Linked DNA regions of Caenorhabditis elegans. The protein of the gene in region 4 interacts with the protein of the main gene of each other region in a pairwise test. Each region holds a gene or a part of one and is shown on either strand. Other genes may lie near its edges. The genes, in order: ahcy-1, F36A2.10, trmt-6 and mig-15.

Region 1 (4,118 bases), on a different chromosome or scaffold from region 4:
TGAGACGATCTTTTTCTGCACGCATGAGGCTAATTTTTGTGAATCCTTGTGTTGTCATGCCGCGCACCTGAATCAGTTTATCGAAATAATATTTTTTAAATCATTTTTCGAACCTCCGTCTTCCAACTTCTTGCATGATCTATTAATTGACTGAATGAACGAGTCTCAAATCTTGCCGGCTCATTTTCCCTCATTTTCGTGTGGGTAAGTTGTTTTAGTACTGAAAAATCAATAAATGGGGAAACATTTTGCAGGTTATAGAGAAACTGATAAAAATTGAACATCATGGGAATTTCTGTAAATATAAAAAGTGAAACACGAAATGAGTGAAGCGTTGAGAGAAATAAAGAACTTATTTATCAATAGAGCGCCCTTCACCCCGACAAATTTAAAATTTGTTTTTCCCTGCTTGAAATTTCCCGGGCGTAGATCTGAAAATTCGATAAACTCACGCCTAATCAAACGTTTTCAGAATAATTTCTCAAACAATCGTCAAAGTTACTCCATAAAACATTTATGTCCAAAAGACAAACAACAGAACCAAATCAACGAGTTGAAGAAAAACGACTAAATCAGGCGATTATGTATTTGGGGGAAAAGCGGGTAGATGGGGAACAATACAACCAGTTCAAGATCATATGAAGTTTGAGGGCAATACAATTTAAAACAGTTAAAAAAATATCCGTATGGGGTAGAACCAACAAAATTAATATCTGTAGTGGTCTGGCTTGTATGGTCCGGCAACTGGAACTCCAAGGTATGAAGCTTGCTCGTCGGAAAGCTTAGTAAGCTTAACTCCCAATTGAGCCAAGTGAAGATAAGCGACCTCCTCGTCAAGGGTTTTTGGAAGAACGTAGAGTCCGAGCTTGTATTCTTGTGGAGTTCCGAACTTGGTCCAGAGCTCAACTTGAGCGAGAACTTGGTTGGTGAAGGAGTTGGACATGACGAAAGATGGATGTCCGGTGGCACATCCAAGGTTGACAAGACGTCCTTCGGCAAGGAGGATGACGTGACGTCCGTTCTTGAGGGTGTAACGGTCAACCTGAAAAAAGTTGGTTCAAACTTCTATCGATGATTGTGAATTCATCCTAATTCTGAACATTTTCTTACCTGTGGCTTGATGGTGTCCTTCTTGGTGGCATTGGTGTTGAGCCATTTGACGTCAATCTCGCAATCGAAGTGACCAACGTTGCAGACGATAGCGTCATTTGGAAGAAGCTCGAAGTGCTTTCCGGTAACGATGTCCTTGCATCCAGTGGTGGTGACAATGATGTTAGCCTTTGGTGCAGCCTCCTCGAGGGTGGTCACTTCGTATCCTTCCATAGCGGCTTGAAGAGCATTGATTGGATCGATCTCGGTGACAATGACACGGGAACCGAAAGCCTTGAGGGAAGCAGCAGATCCCTTTCCGACATCTCCGTATCCAGCGACAACGGCTACCTTTCCGGCGAGCATAACATCAGTGGCGCGCTTGATTCCGTCTGGGAGAGACTCGCGGATTCCGTACAAGTTGTCGAACTTGGACTTGGTGACAGAGTCGTTGACGTTGATAGCTGGAACCTTAAGGTCTCCCTTGGCGAGCATCTTAGCCAAGTTGTGGACTCCAGTGGTGGTCTCCTCGGAAAGTCCGCGGATTCCAGCGAGGTATTGTGGGTACTTGGCGTGAACCAAGTTGGTAAGATCACCTCCATCATCAAGGATCATGTTGAGTGGTTGTCCATCCTTGAAGACGATAGTTTGCTCAATGCACCATTCGTATTCCTCGTCGGTCTCTCCCTTCCAGGCGTAGACTGGGACTCCGGTCTGGGCAATGGCGGCAGCAGCGTGATCTTGGGTGGAGAAGATGTTGCAGGAAGACCATTGGACCTGGAAAAAGTTTCGATTTTTCAAACCAACTTATTTTAATACTAATTCTTTCAAAAAACAAGATTTACCTCAGCTCCGAGAGCAGTAAGAGTCTCAATGAGAACAGCGGTTTGGATGGTCATGTGGAGACATCCGGCGATTCTAGCTCCCTTCAATGGCTGGGATGGTCCGTACTTGGAGCGCATAGCCATAAGTCCTGGCATCTCATTCTCAGCAAGGATGATCTCCTTGCGTCCGAAATCGGCGAGCTTGATATCAGCGACCTTGTAAGCTGGCTTAGACTGGGCCATTGCGAATGTGTTTTACCTGAAATAATTAGAAATTTATTTTAATCTGCAGGACGGATAGGGAAGAGAAGCGAAGAAGTCCATAAGACGGAAATAAAGAAAAAAAATGAGACACTTTTTTGAAAGTTCGGCTGTGAAAAGGATAAAACAAGAGTTTGTGAAGAAAAAAAAACTGATTGTGAGAAGGTTATTTTCCAATTTATAAGTTGTTTTTGTTTATCAGAGAATCGAAAATAAACAAAAACAACCTTGGCTTACGTGGATTGCCAAAACATCAATTTTTAAATGGAAAAAAACAATAATCCATGTGTAAATAAGTAAACCCGAAAATACGGAAGATAGTTAGTGGACGAGAACTTTTTTAGGTTTTAGAGTTTAATATGTGGGAAAATCTATTAAATCTGGAACCATGACGAAGAAATTTACAACTAGTCGGTCTTTTAAACATAAAACAAAGCGAGGAACTTTGCAAAAACTTTTCCCAAAAAGAAAGCTTTTTCGAAATTTCTACTGTTTCGATCAAAGGCGCAGTGATTTTTCTCAGTGGGTCCCGCCACGAAGGCCTAAAATTTGGACTTACTCGCCGCGAAACGATGATTTTTATTTGAAAATTACTAAAGAAAATTTAAGAAAAAAACGTATTGACACATGAGGTGAGATATGCATCCTGCGATGCTCGTCAACCGTCAAGACAGCGTTATTTATGGAGAATTGGCGATAAAATCTTGATAGCCTTGTAAAATGTAAGATTACTTTGGCCGATAGCTTTGGTAAAGTGACCTTCCTGAATTCCACACCACCGCAGATTTCTTTGAAGATTCTGTACGACCTAGAAAAGGATATCACGTTTCAGATTAAATTTTAGGATTCGTCGATGATAGATTTCCCCCACTTTCCTCTTGTTCTAGAATGATTCAGTACCTTTTCAGTCTGAAAGGGAAAAATCACTTTCTTTTTTTTTTGCTAGCCCGTATTCCTACGGCGTTATTTCTGGCCCAACGGCGGCCTTTTATAGCACCCAAATGCCTGTGCCACATCAGTCTCCGCCCACTTTTCGTCGTGGATGTGCTGCGTCTCTCATTCTCCGCTTCTGTGTACTTTTCTATGTTAGATGTGCAGGAATGATAAGAGCTTGAGAGAAAGCAGAGAAAGAGGAAAGCGAGGGAAATTCAAAAATTAATTTTCTATTTTTGACACATTTTTTACAATGTGGCGCCTCAATTTGGATAATGTAATTTTTCATGCAAGACGTCGACCGGGACAGTTTCAAAATTTCTAAGTGATATGTTCTGAAATATAACTGTGTTCTGAAATATAATTTTGCTCATTACAATTAAAACTAAAATTTTCTTTGCAAATCTCGTTAAATTCTAGAAGAATCTATTAGAGATCTATGTATCTCTTACTTTCTATCATCCAAGGTCACTTCTTATCGTAGTTCTTTTTTCGAAATGCCCTCCGCCGCCAATTTCGTAGACAATTAGGTTTCGCTTATCAATTTTGCAAAGTTCAGGTGGTTTTAATGTCTAATAGAATTCTATAAACTTTTTAATGTTTTAATCTCCTAGAATAGACTTCATTTAATTTTCCAAATAAAATTTCTTTTGGTTTTTCCAAAATCCTCGAATGCTGAGAATCCGGTGCAGTTTCTCTGAGATATCTATTTCCCGGAAAATGATTTTTGTAATTTAGTATCGGAAATTTTGGCAAGGCGAATTTTTCTAGACCCACTTCGACCGTATACCTCATCTGGAATTCCAGACAGCTGATCAGCTACACATCACGCCATTCACAATGTCTCATATTTTATGTTTCTTCTCTTATCTCAATGATTATATCATGGTGATCTTGTTAACAATCGGCGCACGAGAAACAAAAAAGGAGTAAAAGAATATTAGTGAAAGGTAAAAAGGAGAGATTTCCTGAAAAAATCTTTTAAGAAAGTTATTTAACAATTTATAATTT
Region 2 (2,814 bases), on a different chromosome or scaffold from region 4:
TGGGACCTGTTCATGTATCATCCTTCCACGAGCAGAAATCAAATCTTTTGAAGTAAGTTATTGAAAACTGGGAATTCAGAGAATTTAATTTGAATTGAAATTTAGAGCCCGTTGTGCATGTTCTCGAGACCAAACCGAAGGGTTCATGTATGATGTGTCTCGAAAATGGTCCAAAGTTTGGCGAGATGTTCAAAAATTTGTGGAGAATGGAGTTACAGCCGTGAGTTATGATTTGTAAATAATTTAAAATTAATTCATTTTGTAGAGACCAACATTCGGAATGATCAGTTATCCAATGGTAACTATAACCTCAAGATATCCAAGTGGATTGTTCATTCGAGATAAGCCATTATTGAATCGAAGAGGTCATAATTACGCGACGAAGTGGTTATGGAATAGGCTGATTGGCGGAGATTTATATAATCTTTCCTCGGCTACACTTTCCCAGGATAACTATTTTTGTCCTTCTGTTGTAAGTTGAATGCATTATTAATGCGAAATATTCAAATTAACACTAACAACAGCATATTAAAAAAAACGTTTCAAATCACAATATTTTTATTCATAGTTATATCCCGGAAAGATCTCTTTTCTACCTTGCCATCAAGAAGCGACGATTATTTACTTGTGAGCCGCAGACACACGACGGGCGGTTTTGCTGCTTCCACTGAAAATTGACTATGAATATTAGAATAAAACTGAAAAAAACAAACCGCGATTTGATGGCTTCTGTCTTTTTCACTTTGACGGGAGAGATAGATCGAGCGGCTTTCGTGGTAACTGCCTTCTTTGGAGCACGCTTCTTTCCACGAGTGCTACTGCGGCTTCGAGATCTCGATCTGGAACGTGAGCGAGTAGACTTTGAACGTGAGCGGCGAGTAGATTTCGAACGGGATCTTGAACGGCTACGAGATGATGCCTTCTTTTTCAACTTCTCCTTCGGAATTCGAGATGAACTGGTCGAAGTCGAAGAGTCAGTGATCCCCATATGTCCACGAAGAGCAGCCTGAGAGCGAGTAACCGCTCCTTGGGTGCGGACCGTTGGTCGGACAGCTTGAATCGTCTTCTTTGTAGATCCTGGACCTTTAGATCCGACTTTTGCCACGGTAGTCTTTCTTGCCATTGATGGATTTCTTCAAGTATGCGAATATGTCGAACTAATGATTGTTTTGTGGTTTTGGTCGACCTTGTATAGACATTCATTTGACCGGGCGAAAAGAATAATTAAACCATGTCACGAGAAATTAGAAATGAAACATAAATAAATGTTTTTCAAATTTTTGGTTCAATTTTTTTTTTGAAAATTGTTTTTTTAAGGGTTGTCCGTATTTCCGAACGTATGAGAATCACAAGAGATGTTCCACTATGAGCCTTCAACAAGCAAAAGAAGAATTAATTGATATAAATGGGACTTTTACAAAGGTTTGTTTGATGTTGTGAATGCTTTTACTTTTAATTTTGTATATTCTGCATGTATTGATATTGTAGCCTCGTCGACGCTCGGTTCGGTTCTTGTACAACGTGGCAATGGTGGTTATAGGTGCAGCCTTTTGTGCTGCCTGCCTGCTCGGAACTTTCTTTTATCAAAAATCCAAAGCGGTATGCAATCTATACTAGAATTCCACTTTTAAATAGATGTTAATACATAATACTTTTAGGGTAATCATGGACGGTTCGAGATTGTGGAGGAACCACAGAAAAAACTGGAAGAAGCGCAGAAAGAAGAGCAAAAGGCGCTGCTTACAAGACAAAATACTCGAGCACAATCTGAACAGGTAAATTTAAATAAACAATTACTAAATATGGTAATATCTCAAAGCTCTCATGAAATAATTTCGTTTTTTTCTTTCAATAAGTTTCCGAAAAATGCGGTTTCCAAAGCGCAATATTCAGTTTGAAAACTTTTAAAAAACATCGCTACGTTTCAGGCGACAACTCCAACTGGTATCCAGCTTGCACCAATTCCTGTCGGACGTCACAAATCATTTTTAGGAACAATCAACGAAGGAAACCCGGATGTATAAATCTCAAATTGAGAATTCATTCGATTTATATTTAGTTAGTAATTGCTGTATTTTCATCTTGTCATCACTCACTCTCTGTAATTTTTATCCAATTATCCTGTAAATTTATCATTTACATCCTTGAATTCATTCCAACCCAGTTTTGCTTTACAACCTCAGTTTTATGGCATTTGTAAATAATTTATGCCAATCAATTCCGAAAATCTAAGTCACTTTCAACCTCCAGTCAACAGAGTTCCCTACGTACTTTACGATTAGTTTTTTTGCATTTATATCATTTATTACTTTAACGAGTTCCCTAAAATTGTGCCTTCAAAACCTACATTTCACTTATATTCCGTGTTTTTCATTGTTCTCCTTTGTGATAAATGATTGTATTTAAAATACTTTAGTATGCAATGCAAGCAAAGAATATGATTTGGAAAAGTATTCTATACATATGCGATAGAGAAAACAAATAATTCTGAGTGTGCATGTGATATAGTAATTTCTCAGAAATTTTTTTTTCAGTTTAAAGGCGCATGATGTTTTCCGAGTGTGTCTCGGCACGATATCAGCCATAAACCTTATTGCCCAGAGCCGTAGGCTCATGTCTTGTGATTCTCAAATGTTCCGAAATATTTATATTTCCGAAATAAGGAAAAACTATTTTCAAAATCTAGAACTTTTTTTAGAAGGCTACTGTAGGGTTACTGTAGTTCTATACTTTATCCTAGGATAGGTAGTTGGGATTGGTTGTGATAGTGTAGCTGTAGGAAAGTTTAGAAGATTTTCTAGAAAACTCACAATA
Region 3 (5,013 bases), on a different chromosome or scaffold from region 4:
ACCAGTTCATCAAAACGTTACGAATCAGTTGGTCTCTATCACTTGGGAAACATGAGCGGGAAATGATGATAAAACTGTGAAATAAAACATGAGGTTCCGAATTTAAATACAAACTCTGATGGATTTAGTTATGCACTGTGGGAGTTATATGGGAAATCTAGACTAATGGGTGAACATACAAAAGTTCATTTTTACTTTCAGTTAGACAGGTGACAAATAATATCGGTTTGCGGTGTTCCAGTAAAATCATACATCAGATGTGATTATTTTCAGTTCGTATTGTAAGCTCTATGTACTGTTCAATACTTGAATTGGGAAGTAAAATCTGACGATATACTACAGTAATCCCTTTCTGTCATATTATCGAAAAAATACGATCGAACAATTTTCTCATAATTTATTTTTGATCTACCTTGTTGACTAGGCTCCTCCCCTTCCTTTGATAAAACAGCCACAACAAAATAACAACGGCATCAAGATTGGGAGCGGAGTCAAGTTCAACAGGTAGATCAAAATTATGAGAAATTTGTGCGATCGTATTTTTTCGATAATATAAGTTCATTATTACCAGGTTTTCTAAATTTAAGTCGAAATTTCAGGAACTTTTCTATTTTCGGTAAACAAAAATAATACGTTTTGAACATGTGTGATAACCGGATTGAGAGAAAAAGTTGAAAAAGATCACAAGACTCCAAAGTTCCGTGGAAAACCTCACTGATAACGTAACCTTGATCAGAACATTCGGGTATCTTTTATAACAATAATGGTTGGCAGTTGGCAAACAAGCAATCTTTAAAGATCGCCTTCACACACTTTTATTATCGTCACTACCACTTTCTATCTCTATTTGATGATTTATCGTCTTATCACAATTTTTCGAGAGACCGCCCAAATCGCGGATCGGTGGGTTGAAAGTCTTTAAAAAGCAAATAAGATGAGTTTAGGGTATTGTTAATAATTCTTTGTATGATAGAGTGGAGAATAGAAAAGTTGAGTAGAAGACGAAAAACTAGTTTTTTCTTTTGAAATGCGGCAATTATCAACAAAATATTGTTGACAAGGAAATTGATTTTTTTTCAAAAATAAAATGGAAACCAATTCAAAAATGTTATATTTACAATCTTATTTAAAGAGAAACAAATCAAAAAGATACAGAGAAATTGTTCGTCAAAGAATGATCGTTCACTAAATATCAACTATCAATTATGAACACACGTTGAATTTCATCTCGTCAGTTGATCGCTCTACAGTTTCTTCTCTGTGTACTTGTTCCTCTAAACTGTGACATTGTAATTGGATACAGAAGACACAATACACATCAAAAATTTTTCTAAAAGAAATACCAAATTTCCCATAATAATCGGTGATTTCAGAATTATTTTAATTCAAAAAATCTGAAAATAAAAAAAAATACAGAAGAGTAACCATAAAAATAAATTTTATATTAAATTTTGTTTAAATTGACGAAAAAAAGCATTAAAAAAATTTGTCCAAACTGAATAAAAATTTCCAATATTTTAAGCTATTTTTTGAAAAACTGCATTTTTTAGAAATATCGAAAGAAAAACTAAAATATTTCGGTTTTTAGTAAAAAATTTTTAAAAACCCTCACCCTGGGCTCAATTGATGTTTTTGTTTCGAAAAACATATTTCTGGGTGCAAAAAAAACATTTTTGTTGAATGCTTTTTGTCTTATTCAGTTTTTTTTCTCAAAAAATACACTTAGCTTACAGTCCGGAATCCAATTGCATCTGAATAGTCCGAGAAAGCTATTCCAAATGTTTTGAACTCAAAAACTGCCCAGTTTAAAAGTACAAAAAACTATTTCAAAAAAGATGTAAAAGTTCAACTTTAAACCAATTCAATACCTCTCCTAACAAATATTCGAATATTTGCAATCTCTCATTTTCCCTCTTTTATCACATTTTTCCCGATATTCTTTGACTACTTTATCGTTCGTTCTCTGTTGCCTTTCGTAGCCGTCTCGTCGATTTTCAATTGAATATTCAAATTTTTCAGATCAAACATGGAAACCGAACCTGCGGAAACATCACAAAAACTCATAAAAAGTGGAGAGTATCTTATCGTGCAAAAGGTATTTTTTGAATTGGAAAAAGTTCAATTTTCACATTAAAATTGAATTGAAGAACAAAATTACAGCAAAAAAAATAATTTTCAGATTGATGGCGAACAAAGTCGCATAGTCCGGTTTACTCCAAAGCAAAAGATTCTCATTGAGAAGCTGAAGTTTGTAGCCGATAGGTAAGGTTTCCAGTTCTAAAATTAATTATAATTTTCCGAATAACTTCCAATTTTCGAGCTCTTTCAAATGAAACTTTGATCACAAAAAAACCACAGTGACGTCAAAGTGCATTCTAAACATAAAACACGTGCCCCGTTTTTCAAAAGTCACATATCAATTCTCGCCCCTTGTCACTAACCGATTATAAATTTTTCTTTTTTTTCGACGATTAAAAATCGTTGTGCAAACACTTTGACAAACAGTTTGATTAATTCAAAGAAAAGGGCAGCAGACCCTACGTTCAATTGATTCAACTGATAATATTAATGGGGTTAAAGTGGTTTTTTCTATTGGAAAAGTAAACTGAATGCTCTGCAAACTATTTTGTGGTTTTTCTTATATACGTCCAAAATACCCAGAACCGTTCCTCCTTCTTTAAGATCTATAAAAATTCGAAAACTTGTAAATTCACTAAAAAAAAAAGGTTTTGGATAGATTTTAGGCCGGCACTGTATGTGGTACCCGAACAATGATGGTAAAAGATACTGTAATGAAAGAATGATATTTTCAGTGCATTTGGAAAGCCTCATGGTCTATTCGAAGTATCCAATAATCAATGCCTTCCAATGTCAGTTGATCGTCTAATTGAAGAACTTCAACTTCAAGAAGCATCCGTTGCCACCTCATCCATAGATCCTGAAGTAACAGAACCATCGGAACCATCTTTAGATCCACGTGTTGTTATCGCGCCTTCAGCACTTAAACTTGAGCCCGAACAAAAACGTCAAAAATTGGAAATGGATGCCGTATTGGAAATGAAGAAGCAAGGAGTCAGTGGACAGGAAATGGTTGCCAAACTTGTTGAAGGTTCAGCATCATTTCAGACAAGAACTGTCTTTTCACAGAGCAAATATATCAAACGAAAAGCCAAAAAACATAGTGATCGGTACGTCAGCTATTGTTTTTAAATTTAAATTATTTTTGAATTTTAAGCTTTTGAGTTTTTTATTGATAAAAGTGGGGTTTTGCCGATTTCTACTTCTGCGAATAATAATTTCAGAGTATTAATCCTCCGTCCAACCATCCGTCTTCTGGCTAAAGCTTATTATTTGAAAGATCCTGATCGTCTTGCGATGCTTCGTGCTGATCAATTAGCATTAATTCTTCAAATGGCAGGGCTTCACCATGGAAAGAATGTCGTCGTATTTGAACAAACACTTGGACTTATTACCTCTGCAGTTATTGAAAGACTCGGTGGAACTGGTGCTTGTATTCATATTCATAGGGTTTATTCTTCGAAAAAAAACATCCTTTCAAAATATATTGGTTTTACAGGGTGCGGTAGCTCAATCAATTCCCTGTGTTCATTCTATGAATTACGATGATAACACACTTTCCACATTTTTACCGGTTCGAATTAAGTGTGTTCTAGCAGGCAAACATCTGCCATATGACAATAACCGAAAGGCTGTAAATGGGGATGATGATAATTTGGAGGAAGTCAATGGAGATAAGGAACCTGAGAAAATCGAGGTAATTGAAAAATTAGGACAACGTTTTAGATGGAAATAAATTTTTAAATTTTATAGGATCAAGATCTAGAGGCTCTTGCTCGCCGAAATGATCGTTTGGATCGGGAGAAGAGAGGAATCGATTTGATTAATGATGAACAAATTCATTCTTTAATTATTGGAAGTCGTACTGTCGATCCTATCAGTGTTTTGGAGCTTCTTTATCCCAAACTGGCACCATCTGGGACGATTGTCATCTACTCTCCTCATCAAAATGTAAAAATTATATAAAATATTATCTTTTTTTCACATTAAAGTGACCAGATTACATTTTAACTGAATTCTGGCTCCAGTTACTCAAAAAACCTTTTAAAAACTATTTTCTGTTCCAGATCCTCATCTCAGCATACGATTGGTTGTCAAAGCGTCAAACAATCAATTTAGTTCTTACTGATCAAATGTGTCGTGTAATGCAAGTTCTACCTGATAGAACTCATCCGTTAATGGCTCAGCACGTCGCTGGCGGACATATTCTCACTGGAATCAAAGTTATTGACCAATAATTTATTATTATTTTTGTTATTGTTGTTTTTCTTTTTTCAGATCACCGTATTCGCATTTTATTTGTTATTTTTTATTGTTGAATTTTCCGAGTAAATTGCATATTTCCTCAATCTTTTACACTTAAAATTTAATAATATGTACAGTTCAATACTTCAATATTTATTTTCTTTATCAAACCATTATATCTTCCTGGAAAATGCCATAATTCTGACTGAACAAATATAGGCAAAAAAGTGCGCGTCACACTTGCAAATTACCAATCCACGCCATTTAGCCCCACCCACAATACCGCGCCGCATGCGTGTCAACAAGAGATTCGCCGAGCCGATAAGCTTTTGCGCGATTATCCACGTTTCTGCTAGGCTTTTGAATATTATAAATATTTGAAATATTTTCTCTTTTAAACGGTATTTTGAGTTCTAGCTATGTATATTTCAATTTAATTAATTAATTGACGGGCTTTACAAATATTTAGGTTAAGAAATTGTCAATATATTGCTTTTAATTCCCTTCCTATTACATTTTTCTTTCAAATAAGCTCAAAATTATTTACAGCTAATGGCTTATTTACGAACTAGCACCCTTTTGGTGCTCGCCACTCTTATACCTCTCGAGCAAGGATTTTATGTGCCTGGAGTGGCTCCGGTTGATTTCAAAGCCGGAGATGTGATCGATGTCAAGGTAAGAAAATCGCTG
Region 4 (8,073 bases):
ATGTTATACTAAAATAATTTTATATTATTGTCTATTTTAAAACGTAACTGTAAAAAATTCGCATTCATTGTTTTTCATTTGAAGAATGTCTCTGAAAATTCTTTAATTCAAAAATGGCAATATTCACATTGTTGTTTTTTGTCGAAAATAAAAAAAGTTGCGGGAACTTCGAAATGCGAATCAAAACTTGTCGTATTTTCTTGATCATTTTTACACACCATGTAATTATTTTGCTACTTCATATTTTAATTCAGTATCATAAGCTATAAAAATTAATGGTACTTGTGTATTATTTCCCCTTAATTTTTTGAAATTGATTATTAAATAAAAACGTGTGGAGTTTTTTTTTTCATTTTTAGGCATAGTAAATTACCATTTCTAAATTAATAAGCTACAAAGATATTCAGAAAAAGATATAGCTTATAAGCTGTCAAAGCAAAGCATTCGGTGCAGGACATGGAAAACTTTTAAATGAAAACACGTGTTTTGAAATTAACATATATTTCAAAATATGAATTCTACATCAGAACATGTTGTGAGCAATTCAAAATTTTCAATAAATAATAATTTTGGCAATAGATTCATGTTGTAAATTAAAAAAATCAGGCAATATATTAATATTTTATGGTTTTTTGATACAATCCTTTTTTTCTTCTGAAAAAATTGTTCCCGAAATGGATACTATGTAGGCTAAATAAAACGTTTCCACAAGAATAGTTTTTGTTTGTAATTTAAAACCTCTCCTTCTTTTTGCAACGTCTAAATAGGAAATATACCTCAATGTGCCATAACCTTGTTTTTTTTAGCCATGAGCGTCACTAGGATCTAGTGGTCGTAGAGACAAATACCATCGCTAAATCATTGTTAATCGGCCATTGGAGAGAATATTCGTTAAATTGATACATCTACCCCTTACTCGATCCCCCTTCATTTATTCACCATCATTAATATCTATTTAGAAGATAAGCATCATTTCATCTCAAATCAATATAATAAATGTAGATCACCAAACAGAGGCATCCCGCTATTCTCACTCAGTCGGCAGCTATATGTGATGCTGCTGTTGCCTTTTTGTGTGTCTTCTTTGGGAATGGACAGGCGCTGTTTCCATTCTTCTCCACCAGCGTCTTCTTCATTCTTCGTCCGTCCTTCATCATTATTCGGGAAAACGAGCGGGGGAATGAAATGGAGAGAGAGAGAAAGGCGGACGTCGGAGGCCTTCTTTTCGGAATCAAGGCGAATTTCTTGCGGCCTTCGATCATCCCTCACTCTCTTTCACAACCTTGTCTGCTTGACCCGATGATGTCTTTTGACCGCTTGTCAATTCAAATTTGCACGTCTTGATTGCTATCAGAAAAATTTAAAATTGCGAGCATTTTTAGGAAATTTTTTTTGCAGCAACAGAATATGAGTTATCCTATTCAACGGTTGTCTGAAACTTAAAAATTGATAATTCTTTCCAACATTATAAGAAAAATATATTGTTTTTGCAGAAAAAACACTTAAGACTTTTCTACTTTTTGAACACATTTAAACAATTTGTGCATTCTCATTTTTTTCCTCTATTTCCCGGCTGTGTAACAATGCTGGACGCGTCCGTCCTCCTTGTGCCGTCCACTGGTCTTTCTCCGACGTCTTTGATGATGCATTCCTTATCGATCTAATTTTCTTTATCACAACATGTGTTTTTTTTTCTGAAACAGAATGGTTGCTTCGTAATAATCTTGGAAACAATATTTTATTTTGAGTCTTTAGATGAAAACAATATATTTCTGTTTTTGTTACTTTTGATATAATCTGAAAATTTTTTTCTGTTTTGTTATACTTCCTGTTTCTTGTAATTTACAATAAGTGTTTTTTTTTTCAGATTCAAGTTAAATTCAAGGAGTCATTGTGTGGTTTAAGTGTCGGCTTGCTCCAAGCCGCTCACAGCACCCAAAACCATGTCGTCATCAGGACTCGACGAGATTGATTTGAATTCTCTAAGGGTGAGTATTCGTGACCACCCATACATCAAGTAGAATGCGCACAATGAATTTACTGAAAAATGTTAATTTTTCTATTCAGTCTGGGTTATCGCCCGTGAAATTAATGGTGTTTCTATAGAAAACTACCTTTTGAAGTTGAATGAAACAATCAATTTTTGTCAGCTTTAAATTTTTGTCTCAAAACTAAGAAAAAGTGTATTTCGCAACATTCACACACACACAGACGAAGTCCCACTTTCTTTCTTCGAGTGTGTGTGTGTGGTGTAACAATTTTAAAAAATCATGTTGCTCTCTTCTCAGAAATATTTACAGCTGAGTAGGGGAAAGAAAATGCGAAACTACACCAAACAACACGGAAATCACAATGATTTTTTTCAGGACCCGGCTGGAATCTTCGAGCTAATTGAGGTTGTTGGAAATGGAACTTACGGGCAAGTGTATAAGGGTCGACACGTTAAAACAGCGCAACTTGCTGCAATCAAAATTATGAATATCAACGAAGATGAAGAAGATGAAATTAAGTTAGAAATTAATATGCTAAAGAAGGTATGTGTTTTGGTTAAACAAAAATATTCCTTTCAAAATTCCCCAAATATGAGAAATGGAATTAAACCTATTTTCGAATTATTAAGTTGTCCAGAATTTTAAATCAGTTAAAAAGAAAAAAAGAAATATCTAATTTCTGATAAATACATTTATAAATTATATTTGTATGAATTGATGAAAACTTAAAAACGAAAGCTATTTTGAAGACAGTTTTGAAATAGTGTGAAAAAGAAATTTCAAAAAAAGGAGAACACATCGATGAGGTCTTACACGGAAGAATCAAATTGATTTGCAGCACTCCCACCACCGGAACGTAGCCACTTATTATGGTGCTTTCATCAAAAAGCTGCCCTCTTCGACCGGAAAACACGATCAATTATGGCTGGTAATGGAGTTTTGTGGAAGTGGTTCTATCACCGATCTTGTAAAAAACACAAAGGGAGGCTCTTTGAAAGAAGAATGGATTGCATATATTTGTAGAGAAATTTTGAGGGTTTGTCTTTACCGATTCTCAGACATTTTCAAATGTATTTCTTATAGGGACTTTACCACTTGCATCAAAGCAAAGTTATCCATCGTGACATAAAAGGTCAAAATGTGCTTCTTACGGACAGTGCTGAGGTGAAGCTGGTAGATTTCGGAGTATCTGCACAACTTGACAAGACAGTTGGAAGAAGAAACACATTTATTGGAACACCATACTGGATGGCTCCCGAAGTTATTGCATGTGATGAAAGCCCTGAAGCTACTTATGATTCACGTTCGGATTTATGGTCTTTGGGTAAGTAATGACGATGTGTAATATAAAAAGTTTTTATAAGGCTTGGTATCAGCATTTCACTGATTTAAACACTGAATTTAGCAACGCACCCAAAATATATTTCTCAATTTTATTAATTTAATTCTACTTACAATAATAATCAAATTGAGGTAAATTGCAGAAAACTAACGCTGATTTCCTTCTCTAGAAAGCTGACAACAAAAAAATATGGCTATCAGCTTACTATTTCGAGAAACTAATTTTTTGGAAAACTTTAGCTAAATGAACACTGAAAACTAAGTTCTTTTCTAATTTGAAACTTTTAATATACATATTCAACGTCATTTAATTTCCAAAAGTGTTCTAGTAGAGCTATAGTCTGTTCTTGAACATACTATTTTGATGTTTTTTCTCACTATTCCAATATTTGCTCCGTCTCCTTCAATTCCCTCAACATATCTCCCTCCGGACATTTTCGTTGTGTTTGTGTCTGCTTTCTTTCATTATTTGCATTTATGTGTAAATGGGCACAAAATTCGTAGTACAACAGCATTAAAAAAGCAAAAAAAAACCAAACAGGGGTTTTGTATAAATGGAAAATGACTCATGGAGTTTCAAAATCTTATTGTTATCCAATTTAGGAATCACGGCATTAGAAATGGCGGAAGGTCATCCACCGTTGTGCGATATGCATCCGATGAGAGCGTTATTTTTAATTCCAAGAAATCCGCCGCCAAAGTTGAAAAGAAATAAGAAGTGGACCAAGAAGTTCGAGACTTTTATTGGTGAGTTTTTTTGCAGATAATTTTTCAGTCCGATTATATGAAACAATAAATTGTAAAAATGTGTCGCTATTCGTATTTTTGAAACAGTTTTGCAAATGGGTTTTTGCTGAAATTTTAAGGAAGCACGCACGGGCAAATAGAGTACATTCCAAACAATATTTTCAAGTCTAAATGATGCAGGTCAAGTTTTAAATTTCAGAGACTGTACTTGTGAAGGATTACCATCAAAGGCCCTACACTGGAGCCCTACTTCGTCATCCATTTATCAAAGAACAACCACATGAGCAAACGATCCGGCATTCAATCAAAGAGCATATTGACCGAAATCGGCGGGTGAAGAAGGATGATGCAGACTACGAGTATTCCGGCAGTGAAGATGATGAACCATCTCCGAACAATCGTGGTCCTTCAATGGGCATTCGAGATGACTCGGAGAGCAGTTCAATGATTCCAATGGATAACACATTGCGTAAAGGCTTTCAAAAATTGCAAGAGAGTAGTCGTGGTTTTGCAGAACCAGGTGCTCAGCAGCTGAGGAGACTGCCCCAGCAACCAGCACCAGCTCCATTCCAATATCAGCAGTCTCGGTATGTCACCACTTTCACTCAATACTTTTCACAGTTCAGATTTGACGTTGTTCTCTTAATAGTTTCATTGTAAATTTGAAACCTTCAGATACGTTGAGCCAAGACGAGAATCATCCGAAGTCAAACTGAGGGCTGTTTCATCTAGAGGAGCTGCCGATGGTCCACGTCATTCGCCAGCATCAAGGCCACGGCCCGTGAGTCATCATCAGGTTTTGTTTTCTTACCTTCCTTTTAATATTGTCTAAACAGTCATTCAGTACTAATAATATACTAATAATAACAAACATTAACAAAGTTGAAGCATGTAGGGTATGAACGATTCAAATAACCAGTTGAGGTTTTTTTTAATAATAAAAATAATGGAGGCTATACAGAAAAAATGTTTGTTTACCTGGCTTAAAAGTGTTTGTAGTGTAGTTTTAAAAGTTTTAAATAACGTAAATAAATTTTCAGCGATCTCCACAACAATCCCATCCTGCAGCCCCACACTTGGCGGATTTAGCAAACTATGAAAAAAGAAGACGATCGGAACGAGAAGAGCGACGGGAAAGAGAACGTCAGGCTCACCACGCTATGCCGATTGCACGTGTTTCTGCAAGTGTACCTGCTCCACAACAGTCTCGAAAAATGTCAGAACCCCTTCTGATCACTCATGTAAAACCAGAAGATCTTGACGTGCTCGCCAGTGAGCTTTCTAAAATGGGCGGTCATCACAATGGACGCAGTCGCGAGGAGAGCATGAGCCCACCGCCACCGGCGCCACCACCGCGTGAGGCATCGATCTCGTCTATCACAGACACGATTGACGTGGGTGAATTGGATAATGGAGCAGATGCGGAGTGGGACGATTTGAAGGACATTATGATGAACGGAGAAGGCACACTGCGCGGCCCGAATAAGCCGCTTCCGCCAACACCGACAGATGGCGAGAATACACTTGTGTCAGATGTGCGTCGCAATGGAAATGGAAATAGTGGCCATGGGGCTTACAAGGGAAAGAAAATTCCAGAGGTTGGTAGTGTGAGATGAGCGAAAATATATACTCGTTTCTTTATTTTTTTTCAATTATCTAAATTGGTGCATTTCAAAAATCGATAATATCAATAAGATGCTCACTTTAAAAATTAAATAAATATGAAAAAGCCAATTAAAAAAATAAAAACACTACTGTTTCTGTAGCAGCTATTTTCAAAAAATTATAACTGGCAATAACATAAAGGTGCTTTTAAAATAAAAGGAACTGCCACGACGCCGGGAAAATTTGAGATAAGCTTTCACAACTCAATTTAAAACGTATTTAAAAAACAGAATATTTTCTAGATTCGCCCTGGAATTATCTCTCTTGACGACGACGACAGCGACTCGGACAACGAGGAAGGCAACGAGCCCCTTATGTTCAAACCAATTGTACGTTGTCCCTTCTCTATTTTTTTTTGGTTTCTCTCGGCCAATGTTATACATAGTGTTGACGGCTCTATACCACTCGTGAAACATCTTATTTGGTTCCAGAACGCCTCAAGCTCGCGCGGCGCCCTGCCAGATCTCTTGCCCAAATCGCCACAACTCCGCCGTCAAATAAATGACCAAACACGCCAGATGAGTGACGATCGTGCAGATGAGGTGAGTGTTTTGATTTGAGAATAATATATGTAGTGGAAACCATAAATTTGAACGATAAAACATGTAATTTTATAATTATGTAGAGCGCCTCTCTATTTGGAAGTTTTTATGTAAGTTACTCGATTTGAAATGACAGAATTTGTTGTGATTTTCCGATTTATTCCCCCTTTGGTTAAACTGTTGGTCATCTTTTCAGAAAACAAATCATCCTGTGTTTTATTGTTTTTGATGCTGGTTATTCAGTTATTTTAATTTTCGAAAGATATGTAGTTCTTCTTTGTTGCGGTTCTTTTTTTATTGTTTCAATGTCTTTGGATATATTTTTGATGATCAAAAATCAAAATACAAATTTTTGTTGAAGTGATTATATTTTGTCAGAAGATAAATTTTAATAAATAATAAAACATGATTTGATTTCAGCAACCAAATGGATTCCAAAACTCTGACAGCCGTTCATCAATTCAGCATTCATTTTCGAATCGTGATCGCGAAAAGTCATTTGTTGGATATTTTGGTGGTGGCGCCGGAGCCGGTGGTGGCACAGTAAATCGACCAGGGAGACCGCAAGACATTAACCAAGTTCAAGTTAATGTGACACCAAATTCTAATGGAACACCAGCTGAGAACGATGCTCCAGAAATCAGGAAGTACAAGAAAAAGTTCAGTGGAGAGATTTTGTGTGCAGCTCTCTGGGGAGTTAACTTGCTTATTGGAACAGACAGTGGACTTATGCTTTTGGATCGAAGTGGACAAGGAAAAGTTTACCCGCTCATCAGTCGGAGAAGGTTTGATCAGATGACGGTTCTCGAGGGACAAAATATTCTCGCAACAATTTCCGGAAGAAAAAGGAGAATCAGAGTGTATTATTTGAGCTGGCTCCGTCAGAAAATTTTAAGAACAGAGGTATGGTTTATAAACATTTTGGATATATCTAATTTTATGTCTTATAGGGTGCTGGAAGCGCCAATACGACTGAAAAAAGAAATGGATGGGTTAATGTTGGAGATTTGCAAGGAGCCATTCATTTCAAAATTGTTCGCTATGAAAGGATAAAGTTCTTGGTAGTTGGTCTAGAGTCGTCAATTGAGATTTATGCGTGGGCACCGAAGCCATACCATAAGTTCATGAGTTTCAAGTCATTCGGATCTTTGAGTCATGTTCCTTTGATTGTCGACTTGACAGTTGAAGACAATGCAAGACTCAAGGTTCTTTATGGATCGACAGGTGGATTCCATGCAATTGATTTGGATTCTGCAGCGGTCTATGATATTTATACGCCAGCACAGGTATGATAACTTCAGAATAAGAATTGAAAACAAAGATGAATCATTTAAATGTTAGCCTTTTATTTTTAATTGTTTAGAGCGGTCAAACTACGACTCCACATTGCATAGTTGTTCTTCCAAACTCCAATGGAATGCAACTCCTTCTCTGTTATGACAGTGAGTTTTCAAAAATAGTATTCACTTCTTTATCTATTCTTATTTCAGATGAGGGAGTATATGTTAACACGTACGGAAGGATGACAAAGAATGTAGTCCTGCAATGGGGAGAAATGCCAAGCAGTGTGGCGTACATTTCAACGGGTCAGATTATGGGATGGGGCAACAAGGCGATTGAGATTCGATCCGTTGACACTGGCCATTTGGATGGAGTGTTTATGCACAAGAAAGCTCAGAAGCTGAAATTCTTGTGTGAGAGAAATGATAAAGTAAGCTTTTTTAATATTTTGTCTTTACGAAGATTGTTGAAATTATTCCGTTCGTATGATTTTTTTGAAAACTCCA

What was found.
Region 1: the proteins of mig-15 (region 4) and ahcy-1 interact in a two-hybrid assay, tested with the Caenorhabditis elegans proteins (one large-scale study listed by BioGRID).
Region 2: the proteins of mig-15 (region 4) and F36A2.10 interact in a two-hybrid assay, tested with the Caenorhabditis elegans proteins (one large-scale study listed by BioGRID).
Region 3: the proteins of mig-15 (region 4) and trmt-6 interact in a two-hybrid assay, tested with the Caenorhabditis elegans proteins (one large-scale study listed by BioGRID).

The regions. Positions count from the first base shown.
Region 1 is NC_003279.8:6,834,523-6,838,640, reverse strand, and holds ahcy-1 (Adenosylhomocysteinase), read right to left. Parts: upstream 2,173-4,118; 5' UTR 2,157-2,172; coding exon 1,935-2,156; intron 1,867-1,934; coding exon 1,111-1,866; intron 1,043-1,110; coding exon 707-1,042; 3' UTR 501-706; downstream 1-500. Other genes in the region: dpf-3 (Dipeptidyl Peptidase Four (IV) family), read right to left, coding at 1-67, 114-287. UniProt on the Caenorhabditis elegans protein: Adenosylhomocysteine is a competitive inhibitor of S-adenosyl-L-methionine-dependent methyl transferase reactions; therefore adenosylhomocysteinase may play a key role in the control of methylations via regulation of the intracellular concentration of adenosylhomocysteine.
Region 2 is NC_003279.8:8,818,956-8,821,769, forward strand, and holds F36A2.10 (DNA-binding protein), read right to left. Parts: upstream 1,149-2,814; 5' UTR 1,124-1,148; coding exon 714-1,123; intron 668-713; coding exon 622-667; 3' UTR 544-621; downstream 1-543. Other genes in the region: F36A2.9 (Lipase_GDSL domain-containing protein), read left to right, coding at 1-52, 106-220, 266-472, 1,318-1,422, 1,489-1,599, 1,659-1,775, 1,929-2,024.
Region 3 is NC_003279.8:9,141,383-9,146,395, reverse strand, and holds trmt-6 (tRNA (adenine(58)-N(1))-methyltransferase non-catalytic subunit TRM6), read left to right. Parts: upstream 1-2,019; 5' UTR 2,020-2,026; coding exon 2,027-2,095; intron 2,096-2,179; coding exon 2,180-2,262; intron 2,263-2,813; coding exon 2,814-3,188; intron 3,189-3,302; coding exon 3,303-3,528; intron 3,529-3,577; coding exon 3,578-3,775; intron 3,776-3,831; coding exon 3,832-4,029; intron 4,030-4,145; coding exon 4,146-4,316; 3' UTR 4,317-4,425; downstream 4,426-5,013. Other genes in the region: ZK858.6 (Transmembrane 9 superfamily member), read left to right, coding at 764-766, 799-903, 4,873-4,998.
Region 4 is NC_003284.9:10,422,445-10,430,517, reverse strand, and holds the start of mig-15 (Serine/threonine-protein kinase mig-15), read left to right. Parts: upstream 1-1,943; coding exon 1,944-1,988; intron 1,989-2,366; coding exon 2,367-2,534; intron 2,535-2,829; coding exon 2,830-3,027; intron 3,028-3,074; coding exon 3,075-3,315; intron 3,316-3,935; coding exon 3,936-4,079; intron 4,080-4,278; coding exon 4,279-4,666; intron 4,667-4,754; coding exon 4,755-4,875; intron 4,876-5,119; coding exon 5,120-5,677; intron 5,678-5,986; coding exon 5,987-6,073; intron 6,074-6,175; coding exon 6,176-6,286; intron 6,287-6,369; coding exon 6,370-6,396; intron 6,397-6,706; coding exon 6,707-7,189; intron 7,190-7,236; coding exon 7,237-7,572; intron 7,573-7,649; coding exon 7,650-7,728; intron 7,729-7,776; coding exon 7,777-7,997; intron 7,998-8,073. UniProt on the Caenorhabditis elegans protein: Involved in cell migration and signal transduction. Important in several developmental processes including epidermal development, Q neuroblast migrations and muscle arm targeting.